Linked DNA regions of Drosophila melanogaster. The protein of the gene in region 2 interacts with the protein of the main gene of each other region in a pairwise test. Each region holds a gene or a part of one and is shown on either strand. Other genes may lie near its edges.

Region 1 (6,276 bases), 2.8 Mb from region 2:
TTAACTGCCGAGGACTCGATGTCTGGTGTAATAAGTGTGCCATTTATAACATATGAAATTCTTTTAATCATTTTGCAGTCTTGCTTTGATCTGAGGAATTTCGGTTTTGGTGTAAGGACTTTTAACTATTCTAAACTCTATTTACCACACACTTTCGAGTTTTCCAAATTTCTTACACTCTCAACAGCTTAGTCTTATTATTTGGCATCCGTTACATTTGGTTTATTTTTTATCTAATCGCACATTTCTTCATCTGAGTGGGCTTTTTGTCTGTTTGCTGTCCTATTAACACAATAAAGTTGCCACAATTTTCTTATGATTTCTTTTCATTTACTTTATTTTTTGTTTTCTTTTACCCTTTGCAGCAAAAGTAATCTAAGTCTTAACATTTAAGATTGACTGCTGAATTATTTCTTTTGCCTCAAAAATAACATATATGTTTTCTTAGTTTAATATCTATTAGGAGCGCATGGGTTTCAGGGAAACCTTACGGACATAAGGATATTCAGTTGTGTGTTTTAAACTTTAAGTGTTTATGGCTTAAGTACTTGGCAGCTTTTTGTTTAATGGGAATTAGTTTAAGAAGTGTTATTTATGATTTAAGCATAATGGATATTTTGCATGATTGGTTTCCCTGGATTCCCGGTTATGGTAATCAATAAAAGTTATGTGTTAAGTTTTTTGCCTTTGGACATTTTGCACGTTACATGTACTATATTTTAGTAAATAACAAGCTGTTTCTAATAAGATTTTGAATATTGTTTATTTTTCCATACGTTTTTCTCGACCTCTTTTTTTCCTCCTCTGAAAAACACTCAATCATTTAAACCGATATATATTCTGATACCTCCTAACGCCATGCTATACTAGGACAAGGATATGCTGGTCTGCAATGCAGCATCTCCAGCAGGAGCCACATCCGCATCACAGAAAAATCACTCGCAAGAGTATCTGAACACCACGAACAACAGTCGCTATCGAAAGCAAACGAACACTGCGAAACCGAAACCCGAATCGTTCTCTTCATCCAGTCCGCAGCTCTATATACACAAGCCCCACCACCTGGCCGCAGCTCATCCCAGTGCCCTGGACGACCAGACACCACCACCCATACCGCCTCTTCCACTGAATTATCAGAGATCCGATGGTTTGTTCTTCTCATTCTATGTCTGCATATACCGTCCACCCATTTTTCCTGTCCCGACCCACTGAATATTCATACAAGCGGAAACGTTACGGCCTGATTTGATCCCCTTTCCTATTTCCCAGATGAGAGCTACGCTAACGAGACACGAGAGCATAAGAAGCAACGTGCCATATCGAAGGCTTCACGACAAGCTGAGCTCAAGCGATTGCGAATCGCTCAAGAGATTCAGCGGGAACAGGAGGAGATCGAGGTGCAACTGAAGGATCTGGAGGCACGCGGCGTGCTTATTGAGAAGGCCTTGCGAGGCGAGGCGCAGAATATTGAAAAGTGAGTGCTAGGATCTGGCTATATCCTTGAATACCCATTAAATGAAATCTCTTCTACAGCCTGGATGCGACAAAGGACAACGACGAGAAGCTACTTAAGGAACTTTTGGAGATTTGGCGCAACATCACAGCACTCAAGTATGCTAATCAATGAAGCTCTATAATAAACAAATCTAATGTAATTTTGTTTTTAGGAAACGCGATGAGGAACTGACTATAAGGCAACAGGAACTGCAACTGGAGTATCGGCATGCCCAGCTGAAGGAAGAGCTCAATCTGCGCTTGTCCTGCAACAGTGAGTGTTATAGTTTCCTCTCAAAACTTTGATATAATATTTAATTCCATCATTGCAGAACTGGACAAAAGCTCTGCCGATGTGGCCGCCGAGGGAGCAATTCTCAACGAGATGCTGGAAATTGTCGCCAAGCGAGCCGCCCTACGACCCACAGCCTCCCAGCTCGACCTCACGGCAGCGGGATCAGCATCCACGTCCGCCGAGGCAACGGGCATTAAGCTGACGGGACAACCGCATGACCACGAAGAATCGATCGTGAGTAAATAGGACCTATATGTTTAAATTTGAAATTGACAACACCACTTGTTTCAGATTTGAATAGCCAACTTTCCCTGGAGATTGCTGGTCTGCGAAGTGGTGCATGGACTGTTGAGCCTAAATACTTAAGATGAAACAAGGGAACAGGGGAGAGCGTACCAAAAAGGCAGCTGAATATACAGAATTAACAATACTAAAACCCGTGAGCTGTAACCGAAACGAGCAACTAACTATTCAAAGTGGATAAGCTGGCTAAGAACAATTTCAATATTTATATAAGTAGAGAGCCTAACTAATATGGGAGAAGCGCGCAAGGTTAATGTAAAAACAGGCAGAGATGAAATCAAAACCAAAAAACTAATTTCGCAATTTAAAAGTAGGGATTACGAATGTTTTTGCGAATACCTTTAGTTTCGTATTCGACCTAATTGTACGTTTTGTTAGTCGTTGCCACTGAAATCTGTCTGATTTTTGTATGTCCTATGCAATATGTTGTGTTTTTATTTAATGTAATGTAGTGAGCGTGTGCAAAGGGTATGTGATTTTGAGCAAATGTAAATGGTGTATTTGAGTTTTCTTAGGTTATTTTCACTTAGCGATTGTTTGTCGATTTCTATGTAAACCGTTTGAGTGTATTATTATTTATTTGACAAAGCACCTTCCGCACATCCTCCCGATCAGCACACCCATGTATGTATTATGTCATTTGCCCCCAATCGAAATCAAAGTGAACACAAAGAGATGCACACAAATATTTTCTAAATGCGAGAGCCTACACATAGCGATGTAAGCGAGAAAGCAACCATTAACTGTATACTAACGAAATCATTTAAATTATTGCGTAACTTTATTTATAACCTGCATATATAAAAACATATTTATCGAATTTATTATGTAACTTTTCGATTTATTTTGAATTGAATAAAGATTTTATGAAACCTAAGGACGATTTTATAGTTCTACTTTATCGTGAAGTTTTCCTTAAATGTCCTTAAAGAAATGTTCTTTAATGGGGAAATTCCGCCATCGACGCTAACTTGACGCACATAAAATATTGGCGCGTATTATAAATTTAAATTATCCAGAAAATGAAAGAGGTGCCACACTTCGTTGTTATAAAGTGGCCACACCAAATAAGTTCGGTTATTCGTGGTGACTGACAATTAGGGATTGGCGGGAAAGCCATTTTACCATCTGGTAACACTAGCAATAAGTAAACAAACATAGCAACCAAGATTTTCTTGGTGCTTTCTTAAACACTTTGAAAGGGAATTACGCTGAATTTGACAAAAGATGGCTGACAAACAGTCCACTGAGGAAACAACCAAATCCGTCCAGACTTTAACAGTGCCCAACCCAGCGGATAGGAAGTCGGAAAAGTCGGCGTCAGGAAGTCTGCACTCCGGCTCAGCCGATGGTTTGGAAAATCAAGAAAAGTCGGAAAAGCCCGGCGACCAGCCCACCGCCTATAGCATGCGACCGGCCTTTGGGGAGATGTTTCCCCTGCCCACCATCAAGAGCATAATGAACAACGTTATGGCCGAGAAACTCAAAGGTTAGTGTGAAAATCCATAAATATACTGCGCGTTGCCTAGCAACTTCACTATTTGAAGACAAAACCTATGACAAGGACGTCGCCAAGAAGTGGACCAGTGAGATCGCCGACGAGGTGAACCAGCAGATAGCCAGCAGCTCCCTGGTGAAGCGGTACAAGCACGTGGTCCAGGTGATGCTAGGCCAGGAGCTGGGTGCGGGGGCCACTTACAACTCGCGCTGCTGCTGGGATTGCGACTGCGACACTTCCGTCTCCGAGGTCTTCAGCAACACCAGTCTCTTTTGCGTCTGTACAGTGTTTGGAACGTATCAGTACTAAAACCGATTTCCCACAGAACTAGTTAGACTAAGGATTATACTTTAATGGGGTGAGCTTACATTAAATGGGTTGTCACGAGATGTGTTTTCTAAAAATATTATATAGATAAAATATTCAACAAATGTTGTTTAATTTAATGATAATTTTAAGTATGAAGTTTCTTTACTTCCATTCAAATTTCATCTGCCCAGAGTCTCGTGACACCCCCGTATATTTACATTTTAATCTAAGCAATGCTAACATCTCGTATTAGTAGGCACCGGGAACAAAGGGTTCATCACTTTCGATAGTCGACCTTCGTCGTGCTTCATTGGATGCGTACGTTCAGCGGATTCAGTATGCGGCCCGACATCACAGCCACGTCCAAGTCGCGATCGACGATGAAAAACAGAAACGGATGATTCACAGAGATCTGAATGGGCTTCGATTGGGCGCCGTAGTTGCCTAGAGAGTAAAAGGAAGTGTTTATTGCACTTTGTCTCGTGTTGCAGAGGCTGCAACTGTTGCAACACCATTAGGTTGGGCATTCGCAATGCGTTGCGGCTCAATGCCTCCACTCCATTCCATTCAGGTGTGCTGCAATGCGAGACACTTACGCTTCAGCTGATTGATGGGATGCGTACGGATGGTGACGTCTATGGATTGCTCAATGTGTCGCACGTAGACGCCCTTCTCCTCAGTCATGGGCCTGAAATCGGCGCGATTTGGTTCGAATACGTCGCAGCTGCAACGAAAGTAAAATGAAGCCAGGAACTGGAGCTATTACACCCATGCTTACATTCCCATCTGCAACAGAGAGCACAAAAACCAAAGACACCTCAATAAAAACACAAAAATGCACTCTACAAATGAATACATACATTCTGCAAGTCGTTTGTCAAAAACATGGTGCCGTGCAGCTTGAAATCTGGAATGATGGCTTGCACCCAGCGTGGCTTCAACTGCTTCCGCATCAGTCGAAGGGTTGGTCCCAGTTTCAAGGAGGCGGCGGCTGCAACAATATCCGTGTGGTAGTCGGGCAACAGGATCATTAGGTTGTACTCCGGTGTGTCCAATTCCAACTCCAGCACGCTCATCTTCAGGTGCTCAAAGTACTTGTAGTACAGCACTGCGTTATATACCTTGAAGGTGGTGTGCACCACCTGTTGATTGCCCAAGTAGAATACGTGGCTGATCACATCCGTGTTATAGTTGGACTTTCCCTCGGCCGCCTCTCCGATATAGTGTGGCTCAAAATCATTCGTGATGGGTGCAAAGGCAGCGGGCACTGGCGGCGGAAAGTGCAGCGGGTGGTGCGGGACATGCGTGTGCGGATTGAAGAGGGTCAGAAAGAGATTTGCATCCAGATCCTTGTATGCTGGTATCGCATGACGCTTGTATCGTGCTGTCTTCGTCTTGCGAGTCACCGATATGTTTGCTGGTTGCACGGATGGCGCTATAATAGAAATTACTTGCCGTGTTCCTGGTGGCTTTCGCTCCGCCACCTGGCGAGCCATCATTGGCATTGGCATGGCCACTGTTCGCGCACTGGGCAGGTAAATGGGCTTGGGAGTGATTGGATTCGAATGCTTTAGCGGCGCCTGTAGTTTGCTGGTGGGCAATCTGGAGACTCGAGCCTTCTGGATGCGCAAGAGAGGCTCGGAGTCCTCCTCGGCTACAAAAGCGGACACTAACTCGGCTGCTTCATCCTCACCAGCGGGCTCAGCGGCCTCCTCTTCACCCGATGTTGCAGCAGGTGCTTCTGTGGTGGCCTCCGTTTCCGCTGGAGTCTCTGTGGTGGTGGTTGGTGGCTCTGCCGTTGTCGTCGCCGGCGGCTCTGTGGTTGTTGTGGCCGGCTCTTCTGTTGTGCTCTCCGCATCCTTTGACGTTGTGGTTTCCGCATCCATTTCCATGGTCGTCGTATTGCTGGCCATTGTGGTGTTGACCAACTCGGCATCTGATGTGAGATTGGCTGGTGTGGAGGAGAGCATATCTACACTTAAGTCATATCCGTAAAACATAAGAACCGTCTCAAAGTCCTTGAGAACAGTGACATTGCCCTTGTTCAAGCTGAGTCCTTTCAGTGGATTGTCGGAGCCAAAAAAGTAAGTCTGGAAAATAGAATAAAAATCTATAACATTAGATTATCAATCATTATTTAGCATATATGCTGAGTATGTCCTTTATAGAGTCCCAAGTTGTAAAATATATATGTTATTTAGACTCTGCTAATTAAAAAAATTTCTAAAATTAAGTTAGCCCTCCAACGAGCCTACTGATCAATTTCATTACCCAAATTCTGATCAGCAATAGGTACGCAACGATGGACAATTAAAAAATCTATTCACTTGAACAAATGCTGGTTAGTTTTTTGGGAGATTAACCGATCCAATGGGGT
Region 2 (7,516 bases):
GTCTCTTTATTCCAGTTTTGGTGTTGCTCTGGAGTGGCGGATTAGCCCAGTTGCAAGTCCAGGTAAGCTATAAGGAGATTCTCTTTTCTTAACTGTAATCCGCGCTTTTATAGGCTCAAAGTGGATACAACTATGGGCGTCCCGAGGTAGCCAATGTAGGAGGAGCCACAGCTGGTGGTCGCTTGACACCTGCACCATATCCAACAGCACCAGCCCTGCCACTTACTCCCGCTCCGGCTCCTACTGCATATGGAGCAGGCTTGTTTCCCTCACCCGCTGTTGGATTTACGCCAAGTGGACAGGCTACCACTGCTTTTGGAGCACCCGCCATTGTAGGAGCCACAAACCCCGTTAACCCACCGAGAAGAACTTCATCTGGCGGATTATCTACCCCATCATCTCGCAGTGGACCCTATGGACCGCAGGCTTCGCAGTATGGAGGTACTCCCGGTGGATCTCCAATCCGAGTTGCTAGTGGAACGGGAGACAGCGGGGACTACAACGATTCCGATGGAGACTACTCGGCCATTCCGGGTGTTCCTGGAGTGGATTATCCTATTTATGCCCAGGTGCCGCGCACCAACTTTGACTGTGCGCAACAGCCCCTACCCGGCTATTATGCGGACATAGAGGCCCAATGCCAGGTGTTCCATATCTGTGCCCTCAACCGGACCTACTCCTTCCTGTGTCCCAATGGCACAGTCTTCAGCCAGGAGACATTAGTCTGTGTGTGGTGGAACCAGTACGACTGCGTTTCGGCGCCCAGCTTATATGCGAACAATGCCTATATCTATGATTACTCCGAGAGAAGTGGCTCCAATCTGAGAACATCGAATACCAACAACGTCTACCGTCCGGCCGCTTCTTCCTCGGCTGCCTTCGGGGCACCTCTGGCCACGACTGGAACACTTCGAGCCACCGGAGTGTCTCAGGTTGCTGGATATAACTCCGGCCGGGGGTCCTATCCTTCAGCCACGCCCACCCCAACCGCTCAGCCCCAAAGCCCGTATGGCGCTGGGGCTGTCCTTCGTCCCGCCATTGTCCCGAGCACTGGAGCCAATCGATTACCGCCATCGGGAGCTGCTGTCGGGCTTCTGGCCACTGCCGCCGGAGCTCTTCCCGAGAGTTCAGTGGCTGGATTCGGGCAACAGCAGTCGGGCGGGAATAGAGAGTATCTGCCACCAGCTAGCGTTGGACAACAGCGACAACGAGGAGGCACCAATGCATAGGTAGCGAATGAAAAATTCTGGCGAACCCCTGGGACTTGTACCCGGTTATATGACACTACTCTTAGTGACTCTAGACTTAGCCTCTATATAGAATGTTAGGAGCTCCAAACATAATAACTTGTAAAAATCCCATTAATTGAAATATATTACAGAGAAGTTCTAAGCAAATGAATGGTTTCATGTTTTAAAACCAACTCGCACCTTTCTGATTTAACAACAAATTTGTTCGATTATTATCTGGCTAATCAAATCCTGGTATCACACTTGGTATTCTCTTCCTTTAACTGAGAACGTATTTGGAAGAATGTTTAATATTGGGAAACAAGTTGGGTATTGTTTAAAAATTGCATTTCTTTCCACACTATTCCGCAGTCATTATAACTCTACTTCAATCTTCAAATTTTTCTTTATTGAAGTGCACTGAAAAAATCAATTTGTAAGGTTTGTTTATCCTTCGTCTGTGAAACTTTTCCTTGCTGCAGCAGTTTTCCGTACTCCTGTTTGAAGTCCGAGCGAATATATAAGTGTTTGCCCCTTTTTAGTTTTGGTTGACCCGCTTTTGGCAGCGGTATTGTCGGATTGAAAGCCATCTGAGTGCTGTCGAATTGCGTAAACAGCTCGTGGGAGGTACTAAGGAAAGTAATAATTGTTAGAGTCACATATGTAGTTGCCGTCTTATTACATACAGTTTGCCAATTTCCGTGGGCAAAGCTCCCTCGCCCGTTGCTGGCACTCCATGAGCAATGTGAACGGCCATCCGTCGCACCGTGGGATGATAGTGACGTGCCAGAAGCGCAAGCTCATACAGCGCTGTGCTTGCTGCGTTACAGTACTCAGGATCGTCCAGTTCGGGATCGTAACGACCAGAGCCTATCGTAGTGTCTGTATCCAATAGGTTGTCAAGCACAGAAGTGAGCTGGAAGGTTTGTTTTATTGTGCCAAGCGTGGCCAGGGTGCCATTATGGAGCAGATGCAGACTTCCAGTAAGCAAGCGTTTCATGAAGGCCATTAGACGCTGCTGGCTCATATTGCGACGACGCTTTACGAGCACCTCATCCAAAGTTCGCAAAATAATGGCGAAGTCATCGTGATTTTTGCCTGCCTGCACCGCCAGCATATTTCGGTAAAAGTGCTGGTAGAATCGGATGGGGTCGATGTTTAGCACCTCACCCTGGCCGGAAAGGATAACGAATATGGTCTGAACACAGTGCAATCGCTCCCGGTAGCCCAGCTCGTCTTGGTCCTCTAGAATGCGGTTGAGCACATCGATTAGATCGGAGAAGAAGTCCAAATTAATGACGTGCGCAAACCTAAAAATCATCCTCTATATTTAAAATTCCAGGAAAGAGATTTACAATAACCACTCACTCTGCCAATCCTTCTAGAATAGCGCTCAGCACGCGGGAGGTGGGATCGTTCTTAAGCACGCGGAAGTAAATGGTAAACACCATCTTTATGATCTCGGTGAGCTTCTGATGCTTTGCTTGCTTGTTTTCCTCGGCACGGGTTTCCTCTAGTTCTCTGTTAACCTCGGTGAGCTTCTTACGTCTTTTGCGCTCTTTCTTGGACAAGCTTAGTAAGCGTTGACGATGCGACTCAAGCTTCTTTTGCTTTAGCTCATTCTCCTTTTCGGCATCTAGGTTTACGTTCTTGATTTTAAGGCCCATCAGACAGGTGATGCACTCCACATGAACATTGTTCTGCTTCGTTTTGATCAAGTGATTGATGCGTCGCACTATAAAAAGAGTCATTTCTAACCGTTTGTCGTTGGAAAAGACTGTGCGGAAGCACTGATGGACCGCCGTTCGCATCTCTGCATAATTGCAATTCAGCATATACACCAGAAGCTGGGCAATGTTTTGAACGTAGTTAAAGTATGGATGTGCCACAAGCAAGTCACACATGCACTGTACTGCCACGGTGGCCAACTTCACAGTCTGAGGCGTCCTTAGACCACCTCTCCTGTTAACTTGCGCTGTGATCTGTTCCAGTTTCTGCAGGAACTTTTTAAACTGTTGAAGCAAGGCGTTTTCAAAGGTTACACGATCAAGAGTGGCCTTGCGAAGCGTCTGCATCTTGGTGTCGACCTGACCCACTCGATACTCGGGCAAGATATCTTTGAATATCTCGGTGACAGAGATTATGGCCAGCTTTCTGACGGCCATTAGGTTGGCCTGTCGACTGGCTGGGTTGATTTCGTCCATGAGTTCGTACAGAGCATGAAAGTTGCGCATCTTATCCTCTGGCTTTTCGAGCAGCCCGGAACAAATGATTCCAATGCGATACTTCTGGCGTTCGATCTCCTGCTGCCGGGCAATAAGTAGATCCGTGGTAGAGATAAGTTTTTGGACGGGAGCGGCGGTGGCGGCCTCGACATCATTGACCACATCGTCATCGCTGTCCTCATACTCCGTATCACCGTCTTCCTCGGAATCATCCTCCTCTTCTTCTTCATTCTTCTTTTTCTGCTTGGGCTTAGGTATGTAATCCACCTCTGTCGTACGGGTGATAATCTGACCATCCCTGGACTTGATTGGCAGCAAATCCAACTTTATTTTTTGCGCGTCCTGCTCTTTTTTCGTGTCAGAGGCATAGGCCCTTTCCAAGCCGATGGATTGTCCTTGGTCAGGATCATTCTCGCCGGTCGTCTTGGCCTTTCGCTTGCGTTTGTTAGCCTGGAGCAGGGCAAGATCATCGCCATCCAGCATGTCCGCAACGTTTTCAAGCATCTCATCGTCGCCATCCTCGTTGTCTTCCTCGAGCGGATCCAAGCCCAGGGAGGCCAATTTGTTGTGCTTTTTACGCTGTGCTAAGTTGTCCCGCTTTCTCGCCTTTTGGGAGAATATATTCTGACCCTGTTCGCGCTTCGATTTCAGTTGGTCGCGCTTTTGCTTCTGTTTTTGTTGCTGCTGCTTAGAAAGCGGTGTTTTTTTCGACTTCAGGTGAGCAGCCCGCTTGACCGAGCTGATTTTGACCTTTTTCTACAATGATTTGGATTAGAATAAGCATTAAATAATTTTACTTTCCACTTACAGTTCCCATTGCACCCGTTTTAGTCAACTAATAGTTAATTTTCACAAATGTTGCCTTCTGAATGGGACGAGCACATGGAACGCCAACGGAACTGTCCACTCGTCAGCGGAGCGCAACAGCTGCTCAGAAGCGGATAGTATTTTGTTTAGTATCTTACATGCGCTTACTTAAAATACTTTGTTTTTGAAGAAATAAGTAAATGACACAAACTGGCTGTTTTTTTTATCACTAAACAGAACCAATACTATAAAATACAATTTTCGGAACTCAATCTTCATAGCAGAGATATCATTGTTATTATAAATTATCGAAATAATGCTGTAGATAACTATGCAATGGTCACACTTAAGTGAGAAGTGTAAACAAAACAAACAGATGTCTGACGAGGAGGAGGATTATATGTCCGACAAATTCCTGGTTGGGTGAGATTACACTCACACCTAACTAACAACCAACCACCTTATGAAAAACTCTCATCCTTCCCTCATTAGTCTGCAAGATGTCCGACCGAGTTTGGTGCACAATCGCGGCAGAAAGCGGCAGATTGAAGTCGAGTCCAAGAAAGATGAGCTGAAGAAGCGCCAACGGGAGACAGCAGCTTCTTCCGGGAACGTAGACAATGTTCGCCTTCAACAGTCCCTCAACAAACCAATTTCCGCCGACAACAAAGGATTCCAGCTACTGGCCAAGATGGGCTACAAAGCCGGTTCTGGGTTGGGCATAACTTCGGATGCTCGTACTGAACCCGTGGGGATAACTATAAAGAGCGGTCGTGGAGGACTTGGGCGCGAGGCAGCCGTTGCAGAGTTGGCCCTCAAGCGGCAGAAGTTGCGGAGGGCACATCTCCTAAACAAGGCCGGCATTAAAAGCGACGAGGAAGTCAGTACAGAGGCTTATAGGAGGCGCGCGACCCATAAAGCGGAGGAGCGAAAATTACAGTATGACATAAAACGGTGCCAGCAGACCTGCGAATCGTTGGATCTTAAGTCCGCTATCACAGAACCAGATCTCGATTTCTTTTGGCCACCTAAACCAAAAGATGAAGATGAATCACAGAGCGACGCCGACGATCCTGAAGTCGAGGTGCCACCTAAGCAAGAACCATACAGTCCCTCGGAGCAATTAGAACTCCTCACTGGCTACCTGCGCACAGCCTATTGCTTCTGCTATTGGTGTGGGACCCATTACGATGACGCCGAAGATCTGGGCTCCAACTGTCCAGGACTCACTCGTGACGAACACTAGCTCCAATCAATAAAATAAAATAAAAAAACTAGCTTGATTGCTTACACATAATTTCATAAAATCAGCAGGTTTAAAATATTTTACAATAAGTAGTCAAAAAACAGTAAGCGGTGTATCTGGTTTGGAGGAATGTCTATAAATGAGTTGTAATCCAGTTAGTGGGAGCTACAAGCGACCCTCCAGTTTCTGTATCAGATCGTGGGTCCTTTCGATAACACTAAACACGAATGGCCGTTCCATTGGATCTGTTCGCAGCATGTACTTAATTAATTCGTGCATGTCCTAGACAAATATTTGGAATTAGTTTCCTTTACAATATAAAAAAAAGGTTTATTACCTCTGTGTAAATTGAATCCTCTGGAATGTTTATGTTCCCACTGAGCACAGCCAAAGCCACGCTGTCACCTCGCTCGTAGATGGGATCGTAGGGTGAATTAAAGTAGCACATTGCATAGAGCACACAGCCAAGACTCTGAAAGAGGGAAATGTTAAGGAAGAACTTCAATAACGCTCTCTTGGATCTGCTTTACCCATATGTCAGTGCGCTCGTCAATTGTGCAATATGTTTTCACGGTAAATAACTCTGGAGCCCGGTAGACAATGGAGCTCCTCTCCTCGGCTTCGTCCTGCAAGCGCTGAGCATCCGTCTGGCCCACAATCTGCAGTCGGGCTTCTGTCATTGACCCGAGATCCACAATAATTGGCTCAAAAGAGTCCGACAGGCAGATGTTGGCCGTTTTTAGATCTCGGTGGGCCAGAGGCACCGGCATTGCCTCGTGGATGGCCTTCAATCCCTCGCAGACGCCCAGAAAGATTTGCAGGATCTGGGCCTCGGGCATGTGGTCCTGTTTCCGCGATCGCAGCTGAAGGTGGTCCGCAAGAGATCCGTGCTTGTAATAGGGAAGCACAATGAACAAGGTGCTCGTTGTGTTTATAACTATGTCCGCCTGGCCCTTCAGCTCGTAATCCACTACCCGGATCACGTTTTCCGAGTCAATTTTTCGACAGTTTTCGATTTCTCGCAGAGCTATATTCTGATCATCGATGCTGTGGCAGGTGATGCGCTTTATCGCATAGCTACGTCGCGTGGAGGCGTTTTCCCCAAGGTCGATTAGACTGAAGCCCCTGTTTAAACACTCAGATTAGATATATCAGAGGAGATAGTGGGAAAAATGTGGTACAAACCCCGTCGCCAGCCTTTCGCGGATTGTGTATCGAGATCCGTTTATGTTCAGGGTCTCCTTGCGGCAACTAAAGAGGCAGCCGCGTTTCATGATCAGCGTCCATCCTATACTCTGCATTTTTCTTAAATTATGCTATGTACTTCACAACTTTAAGCTTAACAACTAGTTCAATTCACATACAAAATCTAAATAGAAAACACAAAGCTGAAGTGGAATGTTTATACTGGAACGAATTTATGAAGTTCGGTGATTTTTAACCATATTTGTAAGATTCTATATTAACTTTAACTTTAAAAACTAGGCACTTTCGTATTATTTTTACGATTTTAGTTTCTTGACGTATTAATAAATTAATATTTATTTTGATTCCTTGGTGTATAGATTAAAGGAATTCAAGATTCTGTCATCGCATAATCGCAATTTCACTGCACTCCAAACAGCTGATTCGAAGACAGGGCGGTCATATTTGCCATGTGGCTGTGTGCGTTGCCACCTAGTTGCGAATTGTTGCTTACGGATTTCTTATCGTGCGGAATATAAACTTAGCATTTTTCTAATTTAATCAATTATAAGTATGGAGGATGACGCGTGGCTGGACCTCGTGGGCATCAGCGCCGATCCGCCCAACAGACGCAACAAGTGCGAGAAATGCAAGTGAGTGGTGAAGCTGGGAATCTGCCATAAAAATTAAAGTATTTTCATGAACTCTATTATAGACGACCCGTGGTTGTTTGCTGGTGCCCGGCTTTACCGCATCCACCTGAGGCGGTGTCCTCACAGATTGTTATACTGCAACACCCTGCAGAGGAGAAGAGATCGCTACGC

What was found. The genes of interacting proteins can lie anywhere in the genome.
Region 1: the proteins of Noc3 (region 2) and CG5359 interact in a two-hybrid assay, tested with the Drosophila melanogaster proteins (one large-scale study listed by BioGRID).

What each region holds. Positions count from the first base shown.
Region 1 is NT_033777.3:9,998,245-10,004,520, reverse strand, and holds CG5359 (uncharacterized protein), read left to right. Parts: upstream 1-3,244; 5' UTR 3,245-3,319; coding exon 3,320-3,581; intron 3,582-3,639; coding exon 3,640-3,899; 3' UTR 3,900-3,948; exon of another isoform or gene 3,949-4,015; intron 4,016-4,152; 3' UTR 4,153-4,206; coding exon of another isoform or gene 4,207-4,343; 3' UTR 4,344-4,495; coding exon of another isoform or gene 4,496-4,623; 3' UTR 4,624-4,677; coding exon of another isoform or gene 4,678-4,685; 3' UTR 4,686-4,750; downstream 4,751-6,276. Other genes in the region: Mical (molecule interacting with CasL), read left to right, coding at 79-111, 871-1,147, 1,270-1,474, 1,534-1,611, 1,668-1,768, 1,827-2,023, 2,081-2,086; Spn85F (serpin 85F), read right to left, coding at 4,207-4,343, 4,496-4,623, 4,678-4,685, 4,760-5,989.
Region 2 is NT_033777.3:7,242,613-7,250,128, forward strand, and holds Noc3 (nucleolar complex protein 3), read right to left. Parts: upstream 4,358-7,516; 5' UTR 4,272-4,357; coding exon 4,263-4,271; intron 4,211-4,262; coding exon 2,598-4,210; intron 2,540-2,597; coding exon 1,916-2,539; intron 1,860-1,915; coding exon 1,637-1,859; 3' UTR 1,620-1,636; downstream 1-1,619. Other genes in the region: CG14607 (uncharacterized protein), read left to right, coding at 16-62, 114-1,229; CG10053 (uncharacterized protein), read left to right, coding at 4,638-4,684, 4,754-5,507; CG1227 (uncharacterized protein), read right to left, coding at 5,673-5,789, 5,845-5,979, 6,038-6,632, 6,693-6,808; Dtwd2 (DTW domain containing 2), read left to right, coding at 7,266-7,345, 7,408-7,516.